Linked DNA regions of Arabidopsis thaliana. The main gene of each other region encodes a partner of the protein of the gene in region 2 in a complex. Each region holds a gene or a part of one and is shown on either strand. Other genes may lie near its edges.

The links. The genes of interacting proteins can lie anywhere in the genome.
Region 1: SIP3 (region 2) and HAI2 share a complex: the UniProt entries of both Arabidopsis thaliana proteins name them as parts of the K(+)-channel calcium-sensing kinase/phosphatase complex.
Region 3: SIP3 (region 2) and KT1 share a complex: the UniProt entries of both Arabidopsis thaliana proteins name them as parts of the K(+)-channel calcium-sensing kinase/phosphatase complex.

Annotation. Positions count from the first base shown.
Region 1 is NC_003070.9:2,279,223-2,287,023, reverse strand, and holds HAI2 (highly ABA-induced PP2C protein 2), read left to right. Parts: upstream 1-4,195; 5' UTR 4,196-4,367; coding exon 4,368-4,871; intron 4,872-4,964; coding exon 4,965-5,276; intron 5,277-5,360; coding exon 5,361-5,873; 3' UTR 5,874-6,278; downstream 6,279-7,801. Other genes in the region: AT1G07440 (NAD(P)-binding Rossmann-fold superfamily protein), read left to right, coding at 1-13, 206-312, 400-588; SMO2-1 (sterol 4-alpha-methyl-oxidase 2-1), read right to left, coding at 6,991-7,063, 7,167-7,247, 7,346-7,558, 7,647-7,766. UniProt on the Arabidopsis thaliana protein: Involved in the negative regulation of the K(+) potassium channel AKT1 by its dephosphorylation, antagonistically to CIPK proteins (e.g. CIPK23). Functions as a positive regulator of abscisic acid-mediated cell signaling during seedling growth.
Region 2 is NC_003075.7:15,064,217-15,071,795, reverse strand, and holds SIP3 (SOS3-interacting protein 3), read right to left. Parts: upstream 4,769-7,579; 5' UTR 4,397-4,768; coding exon 3,071-4,396; 3' UTR 2,613-3,070; downstream 1-2,612. Other genes in the region: AT4G30970 (uncharacterized protein), read left to right, coding at 729-873, 2,486-2,530. UniProt on the Arabidopsis thaliana protein: CIPK serine-threonine protein kinases interact with CBL proteins. Binding of a CBL protein to the regulatory NAF domain of CIPK protein lead to the activation of the kinase in a calcium-dependent manner.
Region 3 is NC_003071.7:11,330,327-11,340,804, forward strand, and holds KT1 (K+ transporter 1), read right to left. Parts: upstream 6,413-10,478; 5' UTR 6,119-6,412; coding exon 5,946-6,118; intron 5,093-5,945; exon of another isoform or gene 4,881-5,092; coding exon 4,524-4,880; intron 4,455-4,523; coding exon 4,397-4,454; intron 4,289-4,396; coding exon 3,971-4,288; intron 3,890-3,970; coding exon 3,644-3,889; intron 3,555-3,643; coding exon 3,456-3,554; intron 3,374-3,455; coding exon 3,341-3,373; intron 3,218-3,340; coding exon 3,032-3,217; intron 2,930-3,031; coding exon 2,735-2,929; intron 2,641-2,734; coding exon 2,565-2,640; intron 2,472-2,564; coding exon 1,639-2,471; 3' UTR 1,524-1,638; downstream 1-1,523. Other genes in the region: KCS11 (3-ketoacyl-CoA synthase 11), read left to right, coding at 1-1,297; SPX2 (SPX domain-containing protein 2 (SPX2)), read left to right, coding at 8,606-8,896, 9,326-9,452, 9,932-10,377. UniProt on the Arabidopsis thaliana protein: Highly selective inward-rectifying potassium channel that mediate potassium uptake by plant roots in response to low K(+) conditions, by a calcium-, CBL-, and CIPK-dependent pathway. Positively regulated by phosphorylation by CIPK23.

The DNA.
Region 1 (7,801 bases), on a different chromosome or scaffold from region 2:
TCTGCAACGAAAGGTTTATATACTAATTATTAGATACTGTCACTGACCAAGAAAACAAAAACACATCTCTGTTTGAGACTTTCAATAGAAGTTTTTGTTTTTACTTACAATAGTTTTCACATGTAAATGCAAAGTCATAAACTGGTTTTTGAAACAATGAATCATAGGCCATGTGTGTGTGTGTGTGTGTGTGTGTGTGTCATAGGGGCATTGAATCAGCTAGCAAGGAACTTGGCATGTGAGTGGGCTAGTGATGGCATTAGGGCTAATGCTGTGGCTCCTGCAGTCATCGCAACTCCTTTGGCTGAAGCTGTGAGATACTAATAAGCTAAATTTTCTCCAAGATACATCTCTCTTTCTAGCTTTTGCTGACCTCTTGACCTTGACGATAATCTTTAGGTGTATGATGATGAGTTCAAGAAAGTGGTGATATCAAGAAAGCCGTTGGGGCGTTTCGGGGAGCCTGAAGAAGTGTCCTCGCTTGTGGCTTTTCTATGTATGCCTGCAGCTTCTTATATAACTGGTCAAACCATTTGTGTCGATGGAGGTCTCACTGTCAATGGCTTCTCCTATCAGCCACAAGGTTAAAATCCAATATCCAAAAACAAACACATTTTCAACTTCATTACTTTGAACATTGTCATCTTGGGCTAAGCCCGGTTTGGAAGTATGGATTCTGGCCGTAACACTTTAGAAAATAAAAGGAAACTTCAAATATTCTGATTTAAATTTTGCTTGGATTTTTCAGTTCCGTTGCTCTCAAACTTCAAAGTATGTGTGTCATCCTAATTATAATAATAGTGATTAAATAAGTGTAAAATAAAAAGTAGTATTTTGTCCTCCCATCCAAAATAATTAGGGCTTTATCCTGATCCAGAACATCGTCTGTCCGTTTCCATAAAATACATGCATATTGCTCATATTCAATCTCTGTAGTCAATTTTGACATGCACCTCATGTTTATTTTTTTGGACGCAAGTTGAACCTATTACAAAATTGATGATTTCATCTCATGAGTAATTTACATTAATTTGAGGCCGATATAATGAAATTACAATTTTATTTGCAAAATATATATTCTTAAGAAAATAAATCCCAAAAATCAAAATCTTATAACTATGTGACTTTCATTAATAGCCTGTGTTTTCAAGTAAAGAAACTAAATTAACAAAGCAAAAAATAAAATAAAATAAAAACTGTTTTTCATAAATCGTACGTACTATCAAAGTATTAATCTTGTACGTTGTAAGTTGTAACATAAACGATGATATATAGAATCCGCACTTGAAATACTAATTCCAACATTAAACACTCCATATTATATTCAAAATATGTAATATATTGTCCAAAAGCAAAAACAACTTCTTGACCTTCCACCATTACGACTAGTTGTCACGATGCAATGAATGTAAGTAAATTGGTTATTTGTTTTTTTCTTAACTTTTTAACTTTATTTCAAATTCCAATTTAAGTTCAAAAGTTCAAAGAACCTAAAATTAAACGAGAAGTGTTGCAGCAAAAAAAAAAAACAGAAAGTAAATGACCACGTAAGTACACATGGATGTATCGTAGGCCTAGGTCGAGGTGCATGCCAATTGCCACCATGCACACTAAACTTTGGATATTTCTACTAAAATAATACCAACTTTATCAAATCCATATATTAATTGTAAGGTCATGATAACTCATACGCTATATTCCAAAAACAGAAACTGAATGATTTTGTCACCTACCAAATGCATGATTCTAGCACCTTCAGTATTGGACTATTGGGAGTCAATTCAATTACAGTGATTTTGGTTGGATCGGTGGGTACACGAACGAGAGGGCCCATTTAATCCTCTCCATTTCCATTTTAATGAGATTTGATCAGTAACACTCATCACAAATATCTTATTTTAGTTTCTGATGAGCGATGATGGTCTTATTCACACAATGCTATTTACTTTTTCCCAAACTCATTTTTTTCCTTATTGCTAGATCATGAGCAAAACTATTGATTCATGATTGTAGTAGCACTTAAGTGTTGCGAAACCAAATTAAAGATGAAAAAAAAATTGTAGGTGGTACATCAATTAATGTTTGCTTTTAATAGGGTGGATGTAATTAATGAAGTACTGATTTTCCATGAAGAAGACAAGCCAAATGAGAGCTTGAGATCTTGAAAACAACCAATAGAAGAGTACTGCCTATACATGACATGAGCATGATAAAATGTTTTTGTTTAAAGTACGGAATTTGATGATCAAATTTTTTGTTGTTGATCAAAACGTAGAAACACAAACTATATATCGATCGCCCCCGTGAGTAGTACGTATTATTATTTCAAAAGTAAATGATTTTGCAGACTTGCAGTTATTCATTTATAAGCGAAACGTTATCTTATGCAATGTTTACATTTGCAACACCAATTAGCTTCTTTTTTTTACAGTTGAGACTTGAGAGACACATTAAAGCTTGTCATCGTTCACTGGAGAGAGTAGAGTGTGTGAGAGACAAAGTGACCTAACTTCACTGCAACAGTAGTCGGTAAATATCCAAACATAAGAGCTACGATGGTAACACGTGTACGGTGGAGGAAAAGAGAGCCCTCAGATTCCGTTATAAAGGAGGTGAGACCCACTCGCCGGAATGGAAACAAAGGAGAAACGTAGAGGTAAATGGTTGGGCCACTGCTTCACCAAAAAGCCTTTTCTATCTTCTTTTTATTTTTGTTTTGTGGCTTTTAACGGTTAACAATATAACTCCTCATTCCAAGACAATTACGTGTCCTCTGTACGGCTTTTTCATTTTTCACTTTCTACTTCATAGTGACTTTAGGGAGGCCTCAATTTTTAATTACTCGAGGATTATTTAGGTAATCATGAATGTAACTACAGCTTTACAGGTAATTAAACAGATGAGATTTAGTTGCGTGAAATCTAGCTGATCTGGTGCTTATATCAAATCCAATTGATGGAGACAGATTTGGACTTAAATTCATGATTGTATTTGTAATCTTATATACGTTATAGTTAAATTTCTTTCTCTCCGTACGTACTCTAACTATAATTATTATTAAATGCTGAACGCAATGCTTTTGAGTGCTGAGAATCTTTTTGGTCTGATTCAAAAATGATGTATTAGTACTCTGAATTCAATCTTAACTTCTGCAACGAATCAATGTATTAATTTATAGGAGATCCGGATAAAATTATGGATATATGCACGCTACTTCTTTCATTTTTAATTAGGTAAATGGTTATAACTTTATTTTATATATCAATTAAATGATTTTGGTATGAGATTACTAGTACACTTTCTTTGCAAATGTTTTAAACACGACAAGACAAAAATATTACAAGCATATTTTGGTAAAAAATATCATAAGCTTTCATATCAAAATCATTAGTTATGATGTTAGATTTTTTTTTTTTTTTTTTAACACTACAAAAAGCTCTGGTCTTAATATGTTAGAAATTTTAGTCCAAACCAGCCTACAGAGGATTTAGCTAAACAATTCCCAAGCACCTTTTAAGTGTTAACCGAAATAACGTAATATGATGTTAAAGGTTACATAAAAACAAAACTAAAGAATTTTCATATGAAAAGTTAACGTACGTGTCTTAGTGTAACCTAATTTTAGTTCACAGTATATAAATTCTTTAATGAGATGATCGCAAAATCGCTGTATACAATTTCGTACTTAATTCGTTAGTCTTGAAAAGTTGACCTAATTTAGATCAAATTAAGGTTAACTACAATAAAAATTTAACTAACGTAATGGGATTCTTTAAAATTAAAAAATCGTTGATTAGATAGATATTTTATCTTTAAGGGAGACACAGAGACAATTTGGACAAAAAAGGTCTTCCTGAGAAAGAAGTGGACCACAATCGTGGCGCGAAAGGAACTTCCTCCTCCCCTCTGTTGCCTTGTCATTGGGCCACGTATATCTCCACCTGATCGTGATGCTTACGTGGTCCATTTCTAGATACTATAGTGACCAGATCAACGGTCAAGATTGATTCTAATTTAGACGAAAGACCAACACGTCACGTCGCTAGAGTAAAAGATTTTTTGAAGGCGGAGGGAGAAAAATCAAAAGTTAAAAGTAATTTGAAAACGAGGAAGAGAAAAAGGAATTTTAAAATGTTTAATGAAGCGGTAGGCCGCATGGGTATATAAATGGGCACGCTTTGTAACGTGTAACGATGATATTTATTCAACTGCGTGGTATAACCAAAAAAAAAAGAAACACTATTCGACTCTTTTTTTGTTTTTGTAATAAACATAAAATAAATTTTGGAGAGAGATATTTCGTCGGAAATTAATTGACGTTCAAAAGATTCGTTACCGGAATATTTAGTAGAGGCGGCGATCGAGTTATGGCGGATATTTGTTATGAAGACGAGACGTCGGCTTGTGAATCAAGACCGTTGTGGTCTAGCCGGAAGTGGAGGATCGGTGTCCAGCGATTCAGGATGTCTCCGTCGGAGATGAATCCCACGGCGTCGACGACGGAGGAGGAGGATAAATCTGAAGGGATTTATAATAAGCGAAATAAACAAGAAGAGTACGATTTTATGAACTGTGCATCGTCGTCACCTTCTCAAAGCTCTCCTGAAGAAGAGAGTGTATCACTTGAAGACAGTGACGTCTCTATCTCCGATGGAAATTCATCGGTTAATGATGTTGCAGTTATTCCGTCGAAGAAGACGGTTAAAGAGACGGATCTGAGGCCGAGATACGGCGTCGCATCGGTGTGCGGGAGAAGAAGAGATATGGAAGATGCGGTTGCGTTACATCCGTCTTTTGTACGGAAACAAACGGAGTTTTCTCGAACAAGATGGCACTATTTTGGTGTTTACGACGGCCATGGCTGTTCTCACGTACGACGCCGTTTTACCCTAATTTGAAAATTTCAAAATTATTGATATATTTACGGTTTTGCCTGATTGAAATATACGATGTCGTTTTTGTAGGTTGCGGCTAGGTGTAAAGAGAGACTTCACGAGTTAGTGCAAGAAGAAGCGTTGTCGGATAAGAAAGAAGAATGGAAGAAGATGATGGAGCGTAGCTTCACACGTATGGACAAAGAGGTTGTTCGTTGGGGTGAAACTGTGATGAGTGCTAATTGTAGGTGTGAGCTTCAAACGCCGGACTGTGACGCTGTTGGATCCACCGCCGTTGTCTCCGTCATTACGCCGGAGAAGATCATTGTTGCGAATTGCGGTGACTCAAGAGCAGTTCTTTGTAGGAATGGTAAAGCAGTACCTCTTTCTACAGATCATAAGGTCAGTCTTTATCTCTTTCTAACTCTTTCTTGATTTGTTTGATTTAGTGGATTTTAACTCTTGTTTACGTTTGAAAATGAACAGCCTGATCGTCCGGATGAGCTGGATCGAATCCAAGAAGCAGGAGGACGAGTGATATACTGGGACGGTGCAAGAGTCTTAGGCGTTTTAGCCATGTCACGAGCCATAGGAGACAATTATTTAAAACCGTACGTCACTTCGGAGCCGGAAGTGACGGTTACGGATCGGACTGAGGAAGATGAGTTTCTGATTCTAGCGACGGACGGGCTATGGGACGTAGTGACGAACGAGGCAGCGTGTACGATGGTGCGCATGTGTCTCAACAGAAAAAGTGGTCGTGGAAGACGGCGAGGAGAAACACAGACTCCGGGGAGGAGGAGTGAAGAAGAAGGGAAAGAAGAAGAGGAGAAGGTGGTGGGGTCAAGAAAGAACGGGAAGAGAGGAGAGATCACGGACAAAGCATGTACGGAGGCGTCAGTATTGCTGACGAAGCTGGCGTTGGCAAAACACAGTAGTGACAACGTAAGCGTCGTCGTTATTGATCTCAGAAGAAGAAGAAAGAGACACGTTGCTTGACACTAATCTCCTCATCACTCTTACTCCACCGTTTTTTGTGTTGTTTAAAATGATTCTTTTACCTTGGGACGAAGGTAGCTCAAATCTTTGAACCCAAAAGAGAGAAAAAAAAAGCATTAGGTCTAAAAAAAAAACCCCGGTTTACTGAAAGCGGTTAAACCGGGTATGGTTGGGTCTTTTTTGTTCTGAACCTTTTTTTCTTGCCTTTTTTCGGTGTGTAATGAACAAACAGAAAAGGAAGCCGGAATGTGTCACTGTCTAGGTGGAATCAGTTCAGAATTCAATTAATAAAAAAGTATGTATATGTTTTCTTGGCTTTTAAAGCAAACCAATTAACTCGGATACGCGTGGTGATCTTTGAGAACATCACCGGGAATTTTCAGTTTGTTGATAAAGATTTTAAAATCTCTATAAACGAGTGGGCCTTTTTGGTGTTGGAAGAAATTCAAAATCTCACGGAAACGAAAAGAGAGAGAAGATAATTGGGAAGAGGACGGAGTACGTGTCGAAGAGGTAAAAGTAGAAACCCTACACCACGTAAAGAGGATGTGACACACCGGAACGATGCATATGTTAATATGCGCATTCGTACGTGTCGGTGTCGGTGTCGGGTAATTGATTGAGATCTGAATATGAACCTAATCAGACTGTTTTATCTAAACATGATCACTGGTCTGATGGAAAATCAAAATTAACTTACCTGTCATGTAATGTAAGAATTTTATTAAGAAGGAAAATCGAACCAACACTCCCAAAGCATTTGGGCCGAGAATTTTGGGGTATTATATTTTCATCTGAATCCTATAAGGCTATAACCTACCCAAAAATTTGGTAGCGCAACATCTAAACTTGATACAGAAAAATGAGACAAGGATATATTAAGCTTCAAATAGATGACCCATACAAAATGTTTTAATTGCCCAACCTAAACACATACTGAGTTGAAGTACCATATGTTTTTTCAAATAGGCCACACGAGCAGCAATTCTAGTCAGACATAATAAACTAAGACACATGAGCGTTGCAGCAACCTGAAAGCAAAATGTTAAAGAAAAGGAGAGGTTGCAGAATAAGACCTCTCTAAGACAAATGTACTCTGCAATCCAAAGTGGCAATTTCACGTTTGTTTCATGTCACCGTTTTCTTTAAGGGTCTTCAGTCTTCTGTACCCCTTGTCAGTACCAAAGATCCTGAAGAACACCAGAGACGAATTATACACTGGATATTAATATCAGGACAACTAAAGATCTGTTCTGGAAAGCGAAGAGATATTAAACAAGTTCAGAGGTTCACCAGTCCATATACACAAAAGTTGAAGAGTAGTTTCCGGACTTTGTGTATAGCAGTCGGTGATGGTAGTCATGGAAGTCAGCACTGTAACCAAATCACAAAAATAATAATAGTAAAATCTATTAATACAAATGTCTTATGGTTTTAAGTTTCAAAAGAGCTGGCTAGATGTGTGATCTTACCCTCCATACAGAGGAAGAAAATTTGAGAGGCTCCATGGGAAATGATAACCACAATGTGCCTCAACTGTCTCCAGCACTCTCAACACCATCCATAACCAGAGAGTAATTAGGTGAGGGCCAGTAAGAGCTGGACCGACTATGGTAGCAAAACCCAGAAATAGAATCTCAGCGGGGTGAGCATATTCTGATGTCAAACCAAATGGTGTGGCATATCTGTGATATCATGAAATGGTTGCTTTTCAGAAACTCACAGTTTCAAGTATCAAGACTGAAAAAAAAAATGGTGAACATTGAAACTTACTCATGATGCACACTATGCACGTTCTTGTACAGCCATTTTGAATGCAAGATCCGATGACCCCAATAGAAGACAAAATCCTCAATGATAAAGTAGAATAATATCTGGGCAGACACTTCTTTCCTGCAGGACCATCACCAAAGAGGGTCTTATATACC
Region 2 (7,579 bases):
ATGTTTGTATAGTCATAAAAATCTATCACCTAACAAATTAATTGAAGTTTTCGTAAATACCACACAGTTAAAAAGTTGTTTCATAAAGAAAAGTATTTCGTATTTTTACAATAGGTGTTGCAAAAAAAAACGTTGTGTGAAAAGATTAAGATATTTAATTTCATGAGACGGAGAAAGTAACAACCAATTTGTCAACCTTCTAATAACGATAGAATATAACATAATTGATACTGGAGAAAGTAAGATATGAACAAATCGTGTATTTATATATCTATATAAAAAAGAGAATCGATAAGCTTTGTGGTTATGTTTGATAACCCGTCATATAAGAAATAAAGTATCATACTTTTTGGATCTAATCTATCATATATGGACATTGATTATTCTTGTTTTTAGCGAATTGCTATCACTAAACTAAATCATATCTGTTAGTCCCACAGATTCCACATGCATATGTTTAACAGTAGCCCAACCAATATGTAACAATGAGAATAAACTTAAAGAGATTCAACCACTAAGAAACTAAATAAATTATCCTCTCGATTATTTCCTTATAATTGTTCCCAAAGATATTTGTTGGAACTTGGAACTTTAATAAATTAACAATTTGAGAATGTGTTACACCGAAGCTCAATGACAGAAGACAAAACTCCACTTGTTTTTTTAATCTGTATTATAAGATCTGATCTAACTCTTTTAGTCTTTCTTTTCCACCATTTTGGCCTTAGCAACATGCAACTTCAATTGTGTCAAACTGTCAATCCGCCAGTAACCAACAATATATTGACACTCACATGTGACATATCAGAGCTCATTAATCTACACGACGAAGGCTTTAATGGTTTTGATCCAAGCATGAGACCAAAACATATGGTATTAGTGCAAGCAAACTGAAAATGTTAAGAGTTGTAAATGGACGATTAGAAGTTTGGAACGTTACATTACTATTCTCTCACGTAACTCACGCAAGTGTTATAAAAAACAAAATTAGTTAAAGTTTGATAAATCCCACTTTCTCTTGATCGTAATCACTATTCAACTTTTGTTAATTTCATTTGTTTTGGCATTGCTTGTTTCTTCTAATTTACTTATTCTACATTTGTTCCGCACCAAATTCATCTAGTATAATCTCACTATTCAACAGTAACTATATTTCTTCTGTTTGTTTCATATTATCTGTTTGTTATGCATCGAATTCATTTGTTCAACAGCCACTATTTGAATTCTATGGATCCTTCGGATTCCAAGAATAACGGATAAGAACCCACATGGAGAACGCTTCAACGGTCTTCACATGTCATAGCTCTTCTAGTTCTGTGGACAGAAGCAAAGCCAATATATCTTTGGGTAATCAATATTCATCATGTCTATTGTCTCGTCTTATTAAAGAAAACTAAAAAGTATGAAACATATATAATTAAAACGCATGTGGATCAATCTCACCATATTCGACTTTATAATAATACTGTATGATTTGATTTATCCCTTAAAGATCAGAAAGCAAACCTTAACTTTCGTCCTGAGTAATTCTGAAAGAGAATTCCGACTTGCGATCGATGAACATATGATAAGTGCAATGATTTTTAATGGGATAGATCAATACATTAATGCGTTTCAGTTATAAGTTCTTTGATTTTCCTATTTCTTCAGTATGCCATAATTAAATACCAAAAATAGTTAAAGATTTGTGTAATAAAGCTTTAGAAAGAAACAAATATACACCACATTTTCTATAATTTAGATAAACCACAATCCTTTTTTTAATGAGAGATAAACTACAACTTTTAATCTGTAAAGTTCTATATATATAATCTGGGTGGCCGACAGTTTCATATTTTTGGATGAAGAAAGCAAATTTTGATATTATCTGAAGGGTTTAGCAGAATTCTACACTCGTACAAGATGACTGAAGAAAATTGCAACGAGGAGAGCTATACAAACGGTTGACACACTCTAATTTTGTTCTACATAAATGATAGATCGGCGAAACTCGTACTGATACGTTTTCTTAAAACTGGGGTAGACCTTTGATCGAAACTCACGTTATTTTTCGATGGAAACAAAAGAACCCTTCACAGTTTCAACGTTGTGGCAGTAAAAGATGGTTATTCATTTTTCGTTTTTTATGTTACAGATCATGGGTTGGTGTTTGCATCTCCGTTAATGAATCACATGTTTGATATGATTATACTAAGAATTCTATTAAAAAGAGAGATATATACTAATATAATATTAATCGGGTTCATGAAACATCCATCCCAATCACGTAACTTCTACTTTTGTTTTGCTGCCCACCTCATCTTCCTTTTACTTTTCATATTCTATTCACTCATCTGAATCCATCTACTCCACTATTATTTATAATCAACAAATCAATGAATACTTGTCACGATCATTTTATTCAAAAAAAAAAAAAAACTCTGATCACTAATCATACAATCGTCGTCACATTTGTGCTAATCATATCCCTATTGTTATATGACAGATTTTACTAACTCGACTTACTCCACAAGCCCTCTATCATCGCTAGCGACTGAATTAACTTGATGATTCTACTACTCATCTTACCAATTTAAAACGCATAAGCTAAACGACTCAATAAAGTAAAAACGCAGAATTTTTTTAAGTACTTGTGTTAATACAATAGTCACATGAATCTTGAAGAGTATATACATGATTCAACACGACACTACAAATTGGACCAGCATAAACAAAGATGATGTCCTAATCAATCCAAGGTAAGAAGAGACGTGCAAAAAAAAAAAAAAAGACATTTGATGAGAATGAATGCATAAAAATTGACTCTTTAACATTCTTAAAAGAGTCATGATTATTATTTGTTGATGATGGAATCTTTAACACACCATTCTACACCACACACAACATTCTCTGCTTCGTGACGCAACATATCGGCCACGACTCAAACACACACAAAAGACTTACAACTTTTTGAACGATCCAAACTATGATACCACATTAAGAATCAAAAACAAGAATCACGAATCGAATCTAGAATCCAACAATATATATTACAACATAAAAATTTGAAACACGCAAGAATTCATCAAATTCAAGCAGGTGTAGAGGTCCAGAAAATGTCCTTGAGAGCTGGTCTAAGAGCAGTACTGCAGAAGTTGTTGTACTCAAGCGTATCTCCATGATCTTTCTTCACTTCCACGACAACAAACGACGGAGCCACCGCGAATATCTCCGCTTCCACCGCCAATTTCCCTTTCCGACCATTCTGTTTACCTTCAATCCTTACTCTACTCTCACTCTTCCTCACATCAAACTTATTCCCAACTCTCGCCGCTTCTTCCAAACTCGAAATCACGCTACTCGCTGGCCGAGACGTCGCGAATCTCATCTCTCTTTTCTCCTCTTTCTTCTTCTCCTCAAACAACGGCGACAAATCAAACCCTTCCGATAACGCGATTATATGAAACGCGTTTAACGTCTCCGTCTCTTCCTTCGACTTGTGCACCAAGAAATCAACATCCTCTTCCGTGGTTGTGATTGTGGCAGCCACTGGTTCGTTTCTTGATCTCGTTGCTTGTTTCTTGAACCAAGGCGAATCCATAACCTTCTCAATAGTAATCCTCGTATTCGGATTCGGATCAAGAAGCTTAGTCACAAGCCGTCTAGCATCAGAAGAAAGCCAACCAGGACATTTGAAATCTCCTCTGTAAATCTTCCTATACATATTCACAAGATTATCATCTTGAAACGGCAAATAACCAGCAAGAAGCACAAAAAGTATAACACCACAAGACCACAGATCCGCCTTAGCTCCGTCGTATCCTTTCTTCAATATAACCTCCGGCGCAACATAAGCCGGAGTTCCACAAGTTGTATGAAGAAGTCCGTCTTGTTTCAAATGCTCAGTGAAAGCAGAGAGACCAAAATCAGTCACCTTGAGATTACCTTCTTCATCTAACAAGAGATTCTCCGGTTTCAGATCTCGGTGATAAACACCACGGCTATGACAGAAATCAACGGCTGAGATCAATTGCTGGAAATAAACACGAGCTACGTCTTCACGTAGTCTTCCTTTAGCCACCTTAGCGAATAACTCACCGCCTCGTACAAGCTCCATGGCGAAATAGATCTTGGATTTACTCGCCATGACTTCGTGAAGCTCGACGATGTTTGGATGTTTCACCATCCTCATCACAGAGATCTCTCGTTTGATCTGATCAACCATACCAACTTTCACCACTTTCTCTTTTCCGACGACTTTCATCGCCACGCTTTTTCCGGTTTGTATGTTACGAGCGTGGTACACCTTCGCGAATGTTCCGTGACCTAGAAGACGCCCTAGCTCGTAACGGCCGTGAAGCAGCCCCGTACTACTACCACCGTCAGATCCATTCTCCACCGGTTTTGCTCCGACCATGGTTTTTTACTTTACAACGATGATTAGAGAATTTTGTAAAAAAGTAGAAGAAAAAAAAGATTTACAGTTTTTCGATATCTTCGAAGAATTCGAGAGACGAGAGTTTAGAAAACTGGATCACCCGTCCTCGACGTGTTTCCGGTGGCAATTCCTGCCGCCGACGGATCGGTTAAACCGATCACACAGCTTAGTCTTCACCGGCGATACTCCGACCATCTCTCTGCATTCCCTTACTTAGGATTTTTTTCCCCGAAATTCAAATAGAGATTTCAGAAGTAAATTTTTGAGTAAATAAACGAAACTCTCGTTTAAAGTTAAAAATCTTAATTCTCCTTTTGCCGTCGGATAAGAGCTAGCAAAAGAGTAGTGTTTATATAGATCTTAACGACATTGCAATTACGTAGATACCCTTATTAGGGAGTGATAACTACACCGTTTAACCTCCTTTCGCTGACTGACATGTGTCTTCGGCAATCCCTTGGCGGCTTCGAGTTTGTCAATTATTTGGATAGCGATGACGACACGTGTCTTTTTATGACCGGTCACGATGCGATTTACTATTCTATCCCTCTAGTGTTTCGTATTACGGATAGGGATTAACGGCCTAGTGATTAATTTTTTTAGGGCCTGACGGATTAAAATGCAGCGGGTGCGGTTATGGTTGCGGAAGTTTGCGGAAACTGGCGGTTGCAGTTTCAAGCGTTATCAAACGTTTTGAACGACTGGTTGAACGTTTGATAATGGGTGCGTTTGCGGGAGTTTTATGACTGGTAAACCAGCGGGTGTGATAGTAATTAAACAAAAATAAACCAAAATAAATATAATATATTACTATTAAAAGAAAGAAAAATATAATATATTATTATGATAAATTCATAATATTAGAAAAATTAAATATAATTAAAAATTAAAACCGTAAATAAAACATTAAATTCAAAAATAAATAAATTTTGCAAGAAAAAGCTTAATACTTTATGCATTTGGTACATCACCAAAAATTACATCAAATAGTGTGATAAACTGTAAATAACGTTGAACTCGCGGATTTTCCAGATTGCCTCTATACATATAATAAAGTTTCTTCAAGATATCCAAACGATTTATAACACATCTCCAACTCAAAAAAAAATCAAACTGGTCGTGAATGGATGAACGAATATATGATACTTACTTTTGATTATTGATTTTGATTTTAATTTTTATCCGTTTGGGTGGATGCCATAATTGAGAGAATAGAGTTACAATATATTAATTATTAGAGTTTTCTAATAAGAATAAGATATATAGGGTTTGGGTGGAAAATATAATTATTTTAATTAATTATAAAAATAATTTTTTTTTTAACCTAACCGCTACCGCCCGCAACCGCAAACGCTTGCGGGAAGGAGCTTTTGAAATCTGGCGATTTCGAGCGGTCCAAAGCGATATCTAGCGGTTTATATGATTGGTGCCAATCGCTAACAACCGCTACCACCCGCAAACGCTGCGTTTGCGGGTGGCAGAGGGAGAACCAATCAAGCCCTTAGTTTAACTGACTACTTACCCATTTGCATTGCATTATGCATATGGATAATTGAGGGAAATAGCATAATTATATACAATGAATCAAGTTCTGTATCTACAAAAATTCATAAGGTTTATAAAGAAAATAGTTGTGTCTTAATGTAGGGTCTGATAATTTTCCATAGATTCCATGATTCTTTACTATAATTTGTGTTCAATTGTTTTCATTCGTTGTGGTCCTTGTGGACCATTATGTGAGTGTAGATTCTAGGGTTTTCTACTTCATTTCTTTGTTTTTATACACGAAGATGGTAGATAAACTGTGAAGTTTTTCTTGTTTATTTTGAGGCTATAATTTTTGAAACGGATGTTGTAGCAAGAATATATAAATTAAAAACATTCATAGATATGATAATTATCATGTGGTCCGTAAATAACTAAAGTTTGGTTTGCTGAAGATTCTCTATATTACTACAATCAATCAATTAGCTAATGAGTTTTGAGAAGATTTTTTTTGTTTTTGTTTTAAATCGTTCCATTTTAAGAGGAAATATTAGATATGCTATTTTATTAAGTTGTTATGCCCAACAAATAAGTCGTTCCATATACTTTTCAAAATGTTAATAACATATTACATAAAAAAAAAAAAAAAAAACTGGATTAATCACAAAACTGAAAAAAGTTTTGAATCACAGTTCAACCATTAATTTCAACTATTCAAACCAGGTTAAGATAAAAATTAGTGATATACATTTGAAAATGTCAATTACAAAAAAAAAAGATGAAAAATTGAATTAAATACTTTTGACTTTTGATAGTTGTAGATGTTGATATGAAAATTCAGCTATAAAAACAATTTACACGGTAATTTTGTATATGTGGCATTTATTATTCATTTCTATAGCTATATTTGTTTGATAAAGGTATCTATAAACACTTGTAAATGTTTTTTAACTTAACTTTAGCATTGAAAAGTTAACAAGGAATCATTTTTTCATGATCTCATACTTAAACAGACGAGTGGCGAGAGCATAATACACGTGAAAATGATAATAAAACATAAGTATGATAAAGTGATAAGTAACGGAAATGAAAATCTAGTATAAGTTAACTAGACTACTAGATGACGGTTTATGTACGTTTACCGATATACGTATGTGTTTTGTCTACACTTTCGTATGTTTTGTGTAACTTGTACAAGTCATACGCACACGTGTCTTCCTTCCACTTGATAGTCTCTCTGTTGATAATTAGTTGTTTTATGCGTATGTTTAAATTTAAAAATGGTATTATATTATTTTTTATTTTGTTTACTACTATATATTGATTTCAAATGCAACGCCGTAGATAGTATTAGTCAAACAAACAATTAAATTAAAGTAAACGTTTTGATGTAGTCATACGAAATTGCCAAAAACATTAAAAAAATTTTGGTTTTTGCCTTGAATGACCCAACAGACCAACATGATGCTCTTTCCTCCTCGGCCACCAGAAACGTTTGGGCGGCTCTCAACGTCAGCGATCCCTACCTTTCTTCATGTGTGGACCTTCTCCGATCCTTCTTATATTGTTATACATAAATTTAAATATTATAAACGATATGCCTATGTGATTTAGTGTGATTAGATTTAGGGTTTATAATATAAGTTCTTATAAATATTGAGAAGAGTACTGCATTTC
Region 3 (10,478 bases), on a different chromosome or scaffold from region 2:
GGTTGTTTGTTCTATGCTGCTTGTTTTCTTAATGACTATTTACTTCATGACTCGACCACGTCCTGTCTACTTGGTGAACTTCTCGTGCTTTAAACCCGATGAGTCACGAAAATGCACTAAAAAGATCTTTATGGATCGTTCTAAACTCACTGGCTCTTTCACAGAGGAGAATCTTGAGTTCCAGCGTAAGATTCTACAACGTTCGGGGCTCGGGGAATCGACTTACTTACCCGAGGCTGTACTTAATGTTCCGCCTAACCCGTGTATGAAAGAAGCTCGAAAAGAGGCCGAGACTGTTATGTTTGGAGCTATTGATGAGCTTCTTGCGAAGACGAATGTGAACCCGAAGGATATTGGGATCTTGATTGTTAACTGTAGTTTGTTTAACCCGACACCTTCGTTATCTGCTATGGTTGTTAATCACTATAAGCTCCGCGGGAATATACTTAGTTACAACTTGGGAGGAATGGGTTGCAGTGCTGGTTTGATTTCTATTGATCTTGCTAAACATCTTCTTCACTCTATTCCCAACACTTATGCAATGGTGATTAGTATGGAGAACATTACGTTGAACTGGTATTTCGGGAATGACCGGTCGAAGCTTGTTTCTAATTGTCTGTTTAGAATGGGAGGTGCAGCGATTCTTCTTTCGAACAAAAGATGGGACAGAAGAAGATCGAAATATGAGCTTGTTGATACGGTTAGGACTCACAAGGGAGCTGATGATAAGTGTTTTGGTTGCATAACTCAAGAAGAGGATTCCGCAAGTAAGATTGGTGTTACCTTGTCGAAAGAACTTATGGCTGTTGCGGGTGATGCTCTAAAGACAAATATTACGACGTTAGGACCACTGGTTTTACCGACATCTGAACAGCTTCTGTTCTTTGCAACGTTAGTGGGAAGAAAACTCTTCAAGATGAAGATCAAGCCTTACATCCCAGACTTCAAACTAGCGTTTGAGCATTTCTGCATCCACGCAGGAGGGAGAGCTGTTCTTGATGAATTGGAGAAGAACTTGAAACTCACAGAGTGGCATATGGAGCCCTCGAGGATGACACTCTACCGTTTTGGTAACACGTCCAGTTCTTCTTTGTGGTATGAATTAGCATATAGTGAGGCCAAAGGAAGGATCAAGAAAGGTGATAGAATTTGGCAGATAGCTTTTGGTTCGGGGTTCAAGTGCAACAGCTCGGTTTGGAGAGCGGTAAGGTCGGTAAACCCTAAGAAAGAGAAGAACCCATGGATGGATGAAATTCATGAGTTCCCAGTTGAAGTCCCCAAGGTCTCCACAATCTAGAAACCACTTAGTGGCAAATTTTCAGAAGAGGTTTTTGAGTTTTCAGCTTTTGATATTTTGTGTCTTCCCAGTGAATTTACCTTTTTCTTGATTTGATAATCAGATACACCAAACTGGTTAACAATATTTTTCTTCTTTTTTGCGGAAAAACTTGTTGTAGTCAGTAGCAGACCGTCAATGGTCGGTCCAGCTTGTGTTTTTGGTTGTTGTGTCTGCATATATATTTCCTTTAAGCATTCTTTGTCTCTTTCATTTTTTGACAAAGTTGTTAAAAACAAGAGTTATCAACTTGTCATTAATAACAATAGGTGATAGAATGTGGCAGAGAGTTTCTATGGTTGTTAAGAATCAGTTGCAAAGATGAGATGATCTCCATCTCTTATAACATCTACATCATCAATCTCTGCATTGTTGTCTTTGTTCATAACTTTGGTAGCAACAATACCAAACTTGTTGGAACCCAATTCTAGCAACTCCTTGAAACTCCCAGGAAGCAGTACCAGCTTCCCGGCTATGTCATCTTTCTCTGCACAACTAATCGTCACTCTCACCGGGTTTCCAGTTCTGCCTTCATCTACCGTAGCTAGCCCGTTCTTGGGTACGCTTTGATTTGCTAATATACCAAACAACGAGTTATCGAAGTTGTTAGTTTTACGTCTTGCTCTTGTTTCTCGAATCCTGAAAGACACTTCTCTTGATGCAGGACGGATGTTGGGTTCACTAGTGAATCTTCCGAGGAACCGGATCCCGGTTTTGAGTATAGGTACCGAAGAACTTGTCTCGATATGCACTCTCCTCTCATGTAACTTTTCTCGGAATAAGGCTTTAATATCCTCATGCCCTTGTTGCTCAGCAAGATCCCTCGGCGTCCAACCATGCATATCCTGCTTGTTAACATCCGCACCTTGCTCCAGAAGATACTTTACCATCTCAATGTTCTCTTCGCATACAGCGGTATGGAGCGCAGAGGTGCCTGTGGCTCTAGGACGAGTAACGTCTCCACCATGAAGAACAATTTCTTTTAGTAGTTTCAAGTTTCCTTGCTCAGCCGCCGTGCAAGCAAAATGACCCACATCCCCTGCGTCTATGGTACTGCCATGTTCTAACAGTACCTTTACAACTTTCTCATGCCCTTCCACCATTGCTTCCCACAGTGGTACACTCCCTTCCGCGTCTGCGTTTACATTTCGAAGAAACCAAGAAGCTCAATACTTCAGAAGAAATCCTGAAATCAAAAGGGAAGTACCAGAACTGAACAAGCAAGTACCTCTGCAATTGGGGTCTGCGTGGTACTCCAACAGAAGAAGAACACAATTTAGAGTTCCTTTTGATGCTGCTATATGCTGTTTCCAGAAAAAAAAAAGAGATCATAAGTTATAGTCTCCAAGAGCTTGGATGAGAAGAAAATAACAGAACAAGAATGTGAACTTGACTGACCAGAGGTGTTCTGCCATTGTTATCCGATTCATTTGGATCAAGTCCTCTCTTTAGTAACTGATGTAAAAGTAAATCGTCTTCTCTTATTGCAGCAAAGCATAAATTGAGAGGAAGATCCATTTTACCCCGTGCAAGCATGTTTTCTATCTCCAGCAGAACATTCGTCATCACCGGATCATTCATTTCTTTCAAATGCTGCTCTCCACAAAGAAAGAGAGTGAGAACAAGTAAGTAATAGTTCATAGATACTTTTCTGTTTTCAATATTTGAAAACCTCAGAAGGATCTGTTTATTCACCTGAAGTAGATTATTCATGATTATGGTACCATCACCAACATTGGCCTGAATAATATTCAAGAAAGTTGTACGGTTCATACGCAACAGTTGGCACAAACGTTTGGTCCTCACAGTAAACAGTTGTGGTCTGTAGCATAACACCCCTATCTCCCCTATAATGTCTCCAGCTTTAACCTCTCTCACAATCTGAAATTCTCCATAAACTTCTCTTTGTGAATGCTTAGTTACATCATAACTCCAAGATCACAGGTATGGAGACAAAAGGGATAAACATAAAATAAGAAACATCCATCAAGTGACGCGACTTACGCTTTCTGTTCCAGTATCTACATCCACCAAGTCCTGCATCATAACGGATATGTAAGAGAAGTAAGTTTTATGTCAACTCAACAAATCTGTAGAGAACTTTGTAATGTTTTATTACCGCGGTTCCGTTCACAAGGATGTAGAAGTCTGTTGGCGCTTCGTTCTGCAAGATAACATCTTCTTTTGGTGGGAAATACTCAGCTTTCATTTCTGAGACCTGTAAAATGTACAAAGTAGTGGTAGCTTCATTTGTGTGTTGAAAATGGGATATGAATGATGTTTTCACATGCATTGTCATTAGTATACCAGTTGAAAAAGCAGGTCATTGGATACTCCTCGAAACAGGTAGACTTTATCCATGAGGGAGTAGAAAAGAAAGTGTGATATACTCGATCTAATGGCCTTTGGGAGTGCATCAAGAGTTTCTTGCTGTTGCAGACCCTCAGAGTCAGTCCGGTATTTCAAACATAAATGTGCAAGCATTTGATCTTGCAGACGAGGTGGTAAATGGTTTCTATGAGCAAAATTTGAAGCAGCTTGGATTGTATCTCTCTGCAAAATGAGAACAAAATATTATAAACCGCGATGGATATGCTTCAAAGATTGAAGATGGATATGAAGATGCTAACTTACAAAATTTCTAGTCCGACTTGTTCCATGGACTACCAAATTTGTCATGTTACCAATCAAGTAAGCGGTTAATCCGAGGTTGAAGAGCATATAGAAGATATCAAATATCATCTCCTTTGTGTTCACAGGATGCAGATCACCATAACCAACAGTGGTTAGAGTAGTGATGGACCAATACATGGAAGTCACATATCTCATCCACAAGCTTTCCTCTAGGAAGTTTGCTACATTTGCACCAATCCAGGTCTTTGCGGGGTTAGAATTGCGCGCTGCGATAAGGTAATAGAAACATGCAGCACAATGAACCGCAAAAAGAGTGACCTGCAAAAATGCTCTGGTTGGTTAGTATCTACACTATTACTACATCGAGAGTGTAGTAGTTTGAATAAAGATAACATTATAAGAAGCAAAACATTTTGATGTTCTTACACAAACGAGTTTTGCGCATCGGACCCAAAAGTAGTTGAAGTTGCGGTCTTTCTCTAGTCTGTTAAACAGAGAATGTCAAGATTAAAGAAAATAATGAAAGAAAGAAGAAAAGTTTAGTGATTCTAACCTGGCAAACAAGGCACCGACTCTGCGAAGACGCCAAAGACGAAGCATGTTAAACAATCCATAAGACTGAGATGAGATTCTCATAGCAGCCTCTGAGGGAATGGTTGAAACAAGATCAAGAAGGAACCAAGAACGCAAGTACTTAAATGCAATCTGTTTACGGTCATCAACAATGAGGTAAGTCGATTTATCGAGGTAACCAACAAAGAATGTCATGATGATATCGATGGCGAAGAATGCGTTCACAATGTTATCGGTGATAGATAGTGGTGGCCTTGGCTTTCTCAAGAACCCAAACTCGAAAGGCGAAACCCAAGCTGTGTAAACCACAAGAACCACTAGGAAAGCCTCCCATATCCTGTAGTCAACATTTCCATTTCAGTCATATTCAATAATCTAGTACATTTTCTACATGTAGTTGAACATATCTCTTAAGTTACTGCATGAATATATCCAAGTAAGTCTCATATTTAATTTATCAGTACTTTGTGTTTCAATAGTATGTTACTATTTGATGACGCTATTGAGGATACAACAACCAAGTACAGTTTTTTCTACTTTTGGTTATAGTAATATATCAGATTTGATATCAGTCGTTGAAATCAAGTAATGAGTGCCTTGAATGTTCCACATTCTCTTTTTCAATTACTATAAATTATCCCCAAAAAGCAAAAGCCAAAAGCAAAGGCGGCTTTTAAGCTAATTAGCCAACGAGAGTAATAATGGGAGCCTTGAATATTCTACAATAGCCTTCACATTTATAGATCTTCTTTTTTGAATATTAGGGAACTAGGATTTGAATATTCCAAATGTTGAGTAAAAAGGGAGCTTTAGTCGTCAAGTAGTTAAAATTTTCAAATTAACCTAAGAAAATATTATTATTAAAAATCAATTGTTGTTGAGGTAAAAAAACGTGGAAACCAACATTTTTGTGTTGTTTGACCAACTAGCATTTTTTATTTGCACGTAATTTTTTTATTTTATGAAGAAATTAAAACATTTTTCAAATAAAATAGTCCAATAAGATAAAATAACATGTTATTTGTTTAAAACCAACATGAAACTCTTACTATTTTGAGGGTAAACTTGTAACCTAACCAAATAGTTATTCACCTAACTCATAGAAAATAAGGTTAGTTAATCTAGTGCATATACTTAATAGTATTTACCCACAATAAATTACAAAAGTTGATCACCAACCATTAAAAAGAATACAATTTTTTTTTATATTCAGTATTCATTTAATAAAATACAAATTTGTTAACTATGATCCTAAAGTAAAGTTAATTTCTTGTTTCCGATCCTCATAAATGAAAGAATCAGAAGTTATATAGTTGAAATATATATCAAGTTAAAATGGTAATCGTCTTCTTAGCTTGACATGGAAGAGAAACAAGAAAAACAAAAAACAAAAGAGTGAAACCTGTATTTGTGATCATAAGGAGATACAACGAATCTCCTAAGCTTAACTCGTCGATTACTTCTTGCACCAAGTGAAGGTAAAATTCCAGTAGAAAGACTAAAATGACTACTCTCTCTCGAAAGCTGTTCAATCTCATCTTGGACTTGTCCGCATAACAAAGCCCCTCCTCTCATCACCGACGTTTTTTTTTCTTGGCTTCCTCTTTGATGGTTCCTTTTTTTTGTTCTTTTGGTTTCGGCAAAAGAGGCAAAATAAGCAGCTTAACTCTTGGCTTTATTGGTTTCACATTTTTTTTTCACTCGTTGTTGATGAGTGAGACCTTTTTTTTTTCTTTATAACAAAAAAAAACTCTTGGCTAGTTGGCTTTATTACGGGTGTGTGTGTCATTTCTGACTTTGGATCCCTTCACTTTCAAGGAATTAAGTTTTCTCTCGGCAACACAGTGGTTGGCCCCACTTTCACGTCTTAACCCTTACTGTAGCATTAATGGTGGCTTCTCCATTTCAAGATAAAATAAAATATCATTCTTGCTCATAAATAATTGTATTAACAGAAGAAGAAAAATTAGACCGAAGAGGAAGAGTTGACCAAAAATTTATACATCAGAGCATGATCTCAAGTTTTTCAATCATTATACTTACTATTTTATTGTTTGTTTGACTTCTAACTAAAGGAAAAAAAAAACACATATAGATGTAGGACACGACTTAAAACTTGTTTTAAAATATTTTAGGTGATCGATCATATAACATTCTTGGGCTCATTTGTGGTATGGAGATTTGAAGTGAGATATTGATTGCAACTTATGGTATGATTGGTTGCATACTTGCATAAAGAGCAATAAATGTTAAACTGTCATACTTTTATTTTAACGAGTAAAGGAAAAGCAAATCGTAAAAAAATAGTTTTTCTTTGTTTGGGCATAAAAGAAAAATATTTTGGTTCATCATCCCTAGATCGTAAGCCCTTTTGTTCACCTTTTCCTCGTCTATCTTACTCACTTCTTGTCCATCATCGTATATATAGGGAATTTAAGATAAGCTAGACATTTAGCCTTTAGGATATGATAACTACCATTGTTTGGGGAGGAAGCTACTTAGGATTTAAGTAGATAATGTAAAATGATGAGGGATAATAATGAACTTTGGATAACTATCCATTTTCTTGAAAGAGAAGTAATGTGATGGATAATCATCACATTTATAACAGTTACCTCATTAAAGTGGTCTTATTACTACAAATATTTGTTGCTATTTTTTCCTTCAAGTTCTGGATTTCTCAAATTTCATATAGTTAAAGTTTTAATTTACAAGATGTCTACTGCTATAGATAAATCATAAAGGTTTGATTGCTATGTCGCTAGGGGAGGAAGATGACCTTTTAAATATATTTGATCTACTTCAATATTGCTCTAGTGAAAAGAGTGTTGTGAGTTTGATAGGAAGAATTCGTAAATCGGATTGCCAAATGATGGAGCTAATCCTAGATAAGCCAAGGAACTGGCAAAAGTATGAAATCATCATAGAGATGGCTATTTCCTATAGAGAATGTTAGATGCGTAACAACCAATTTTCTTTTACTTTTAGAATTTTCTTTATTTACTAATATTTCAGTTAGAGGTTAGCACACTTCTTGTTCCATCCCATAACTGTTCGGGTGTTTCCAAATTCCTATCTTATATAGGAATGTATTCTCAATATGGGACAAGTTGGTATTTCCAAATAGAAACTGGAGGGGTTCCCTAAGTCCTGATTGTGACAAATACAACTAGTATATATATATATATATATATATATATATATATAATATTCTAAAAACTTAATTGATTTAATTTATGTTTAGTTGTTCTAAAATGGATTATGTTTCTTTGTTTTTTCAAGTTTTAACTTTTCACTATATAACACACTTTATCATTTTTTCTTGTTTGGAAAATATTTATGCTAGATAAATTGAAAACATGTTAATTATAGAGCAAGAGTTTATATTTTATTTTATTGTAACAGGTTCTAAGACCTTTTTTTATAGAAAACATTAAATTAAGATAATTATTAATTACATGACTCGCGCTCTGACCAGTTGGACCAAATATATATGAAACACAAATTTAGTTTAATAGTATTTTAGAGTATTTCTCTCTTTTTTTTTATGAGCTGGTATTTCTCTAATTTACAAGTGTGTTGCATATAAAACTTCATTCCTTTTTTCCTTTTGTATCATTGTATGGGTCTTTGACTCTTTTTTGGGTCCTTTTTCGTCGACCATTAGCGTCTCCACTTTACCTCCTTTGTTTCCACTCACAATTGTAACTACATGGGCCACACTGGCCCATATACATTCATCCAATCGGGCTATCATCATGTACTAAGCCCAACTCTTTTGACCGGTGATCAAACAGTTATGATCAATTAACTCCAATTCCTTCGTATCCCAAAACTCGTGCCTTTGTAAATTATCCAATACGTAAAATAAACAAAGAATAAATATTATTTCTAAAAAAGATATGCTTCAACAAAAAAAATTTAAAATTGGATATTCCAAAAACAAAACCACGAATATTCTTCATTTAATAAAATAAAACACTAATATTAATATTATCAAACCACCATCAATCCTGTAACCAATTTTCACTTTTGATTGTTCTTCCTTATTCTCAGCTAACCATGAAGTTCGGCAAGAGCCTAAGCAACCAGATCGAAGAAACTTTACCTGAATGGCGCGACAAATTCCTCTCATACAAAGAACTCAAGAAGAAGCTCAAGCTTATGGAGCCACGAAGCGTCGAGAATCGTCCAAATAAACGTTCGAGATCCGATTCCAATTCTGTCGACACAGATCCAACGGTTGGTATGACCAAGGAAGAGCTTGATTTCATTAGTCTTCTTGAAGATGAGCTTGAGAAATTCAATTCCTTCTTCGTTGAGCAAGAGGAAGAGTATATCATTAGATTGAAGGTAAATCCTCAAAAATTTATGTGGAACGATGCAAAAACTTAGGTTTTGATGTAGAATTGTTAGGTTTGATGATTTGGGATCAATTTGTTAGTTTTGATTGCATTTACTGATTGTTGATTCCAATTCATAGGATTCTAAGATTTTTCATAAGTAGATGTTGTTGGAATTACTATTATGACGAATGACTCCGGCCAAATTTCCGGTGAAGTCCGTCACCGGAATGACCGGAGCTTGGATTCCTCGTAAATCATCTGAATTAGTAGTTTCGATTCGTTTGGAAACGTAGTTGAATGAGAAATGAGCATAGTTAGTTAAAAATTTAGGTCCATGTTACTTATTTTGTAGCCTAAGGCTAGAATTATTGCGTGGAGCATTTTTAGTTTACATAGTGTATTCAACTCTATTTCTTGGTGGGAATTGGTATCGTAGGAATTGAAGGACCAAGTGGCGAAAGCGAAGAATTCTAATGAAGAGATGATAAATATAAAGAAAGAGATTGTTGATTTTCATGGAGAAATGGTTTTGTTGATGAATTATAGTGCTCTTAACTATACAGGTAAACTTTTCTTTCTCATGTCATCTCCATGGTTATTGTTTTTCGTTCTTTTCTCATATGTTCTAATCATTCGTAGCCCGAAAGCCGACGTTGAGTAAACAGAACAAGCTCACATGTTGGACAATTGATAGTTTTTAGATGTTAAAACTCGTTTACAAGGTCAAGCTCTAGTTTTTAGCATTTCCTAGTAAGTGAAACCGTGTCAATGGGCAATATTTTTAGAAGTTTTGTGAAAGATTGATTAGTAGGGAACTTGAGTTAGTATTAACATTACGTCTATGTTAAGAGTCATATTCTCCACGATCTTTGTGTTACTTGTTAAATAGAAATGTGCCCACATGAAGGAATATGCTGTAATTTGTTTAACTGGCCACTCATCGCAGATGCTTTCTTTATACTTTTTTCTTATAAATAACTTGAGGTTTATGCCTTTATTCTTATTCGCTAAATGTGTAGAATTGTGTTCTATTGGTTTACAGGATTGGCAAAGATTCTCAAAAAGTATGACAAAAGAACCGGTGCTTTAATCCGTTTACCATTTATCCAAAAGGTTTTGCAAGAACCTTTCTTCACAACTGACCTACTCAACACATTTGTGAAAGAGTGCGAGGCTATGCTGGACCGCCTCTTTCCGTCTAACAAAAGTCGGAATCTGGATGAAGAAGGAGAGCCGACAACTTCTGGAATGGTCAAGACAGGAACGGACGATTCTGAACTTCTTAGAGTACCAAAAGAACTGTCTGAGATTGAGTACATGGAGAGCTTGTATATGAAGAGCACTGTGTCGGCATTAAAAGTATTAAAGGAAATCCGCAGTGGTAGCTCAACAGTTAGCGTCTTCTCGTTGCCACCGTTACCGGCAAGTGGATTAGAAGATGATTCATGGAAGAAGAAAGTTGGTGTCCTTGAACAAGTAGCGAAATGAATTATGAGTATTATTATTTTTAAATCTCTCTTTTTTTTTGTACTTTCTTTAAATAGTACAAGTAATTGTATACGCTTACAGCTGTAAAAGATGAATCAAAT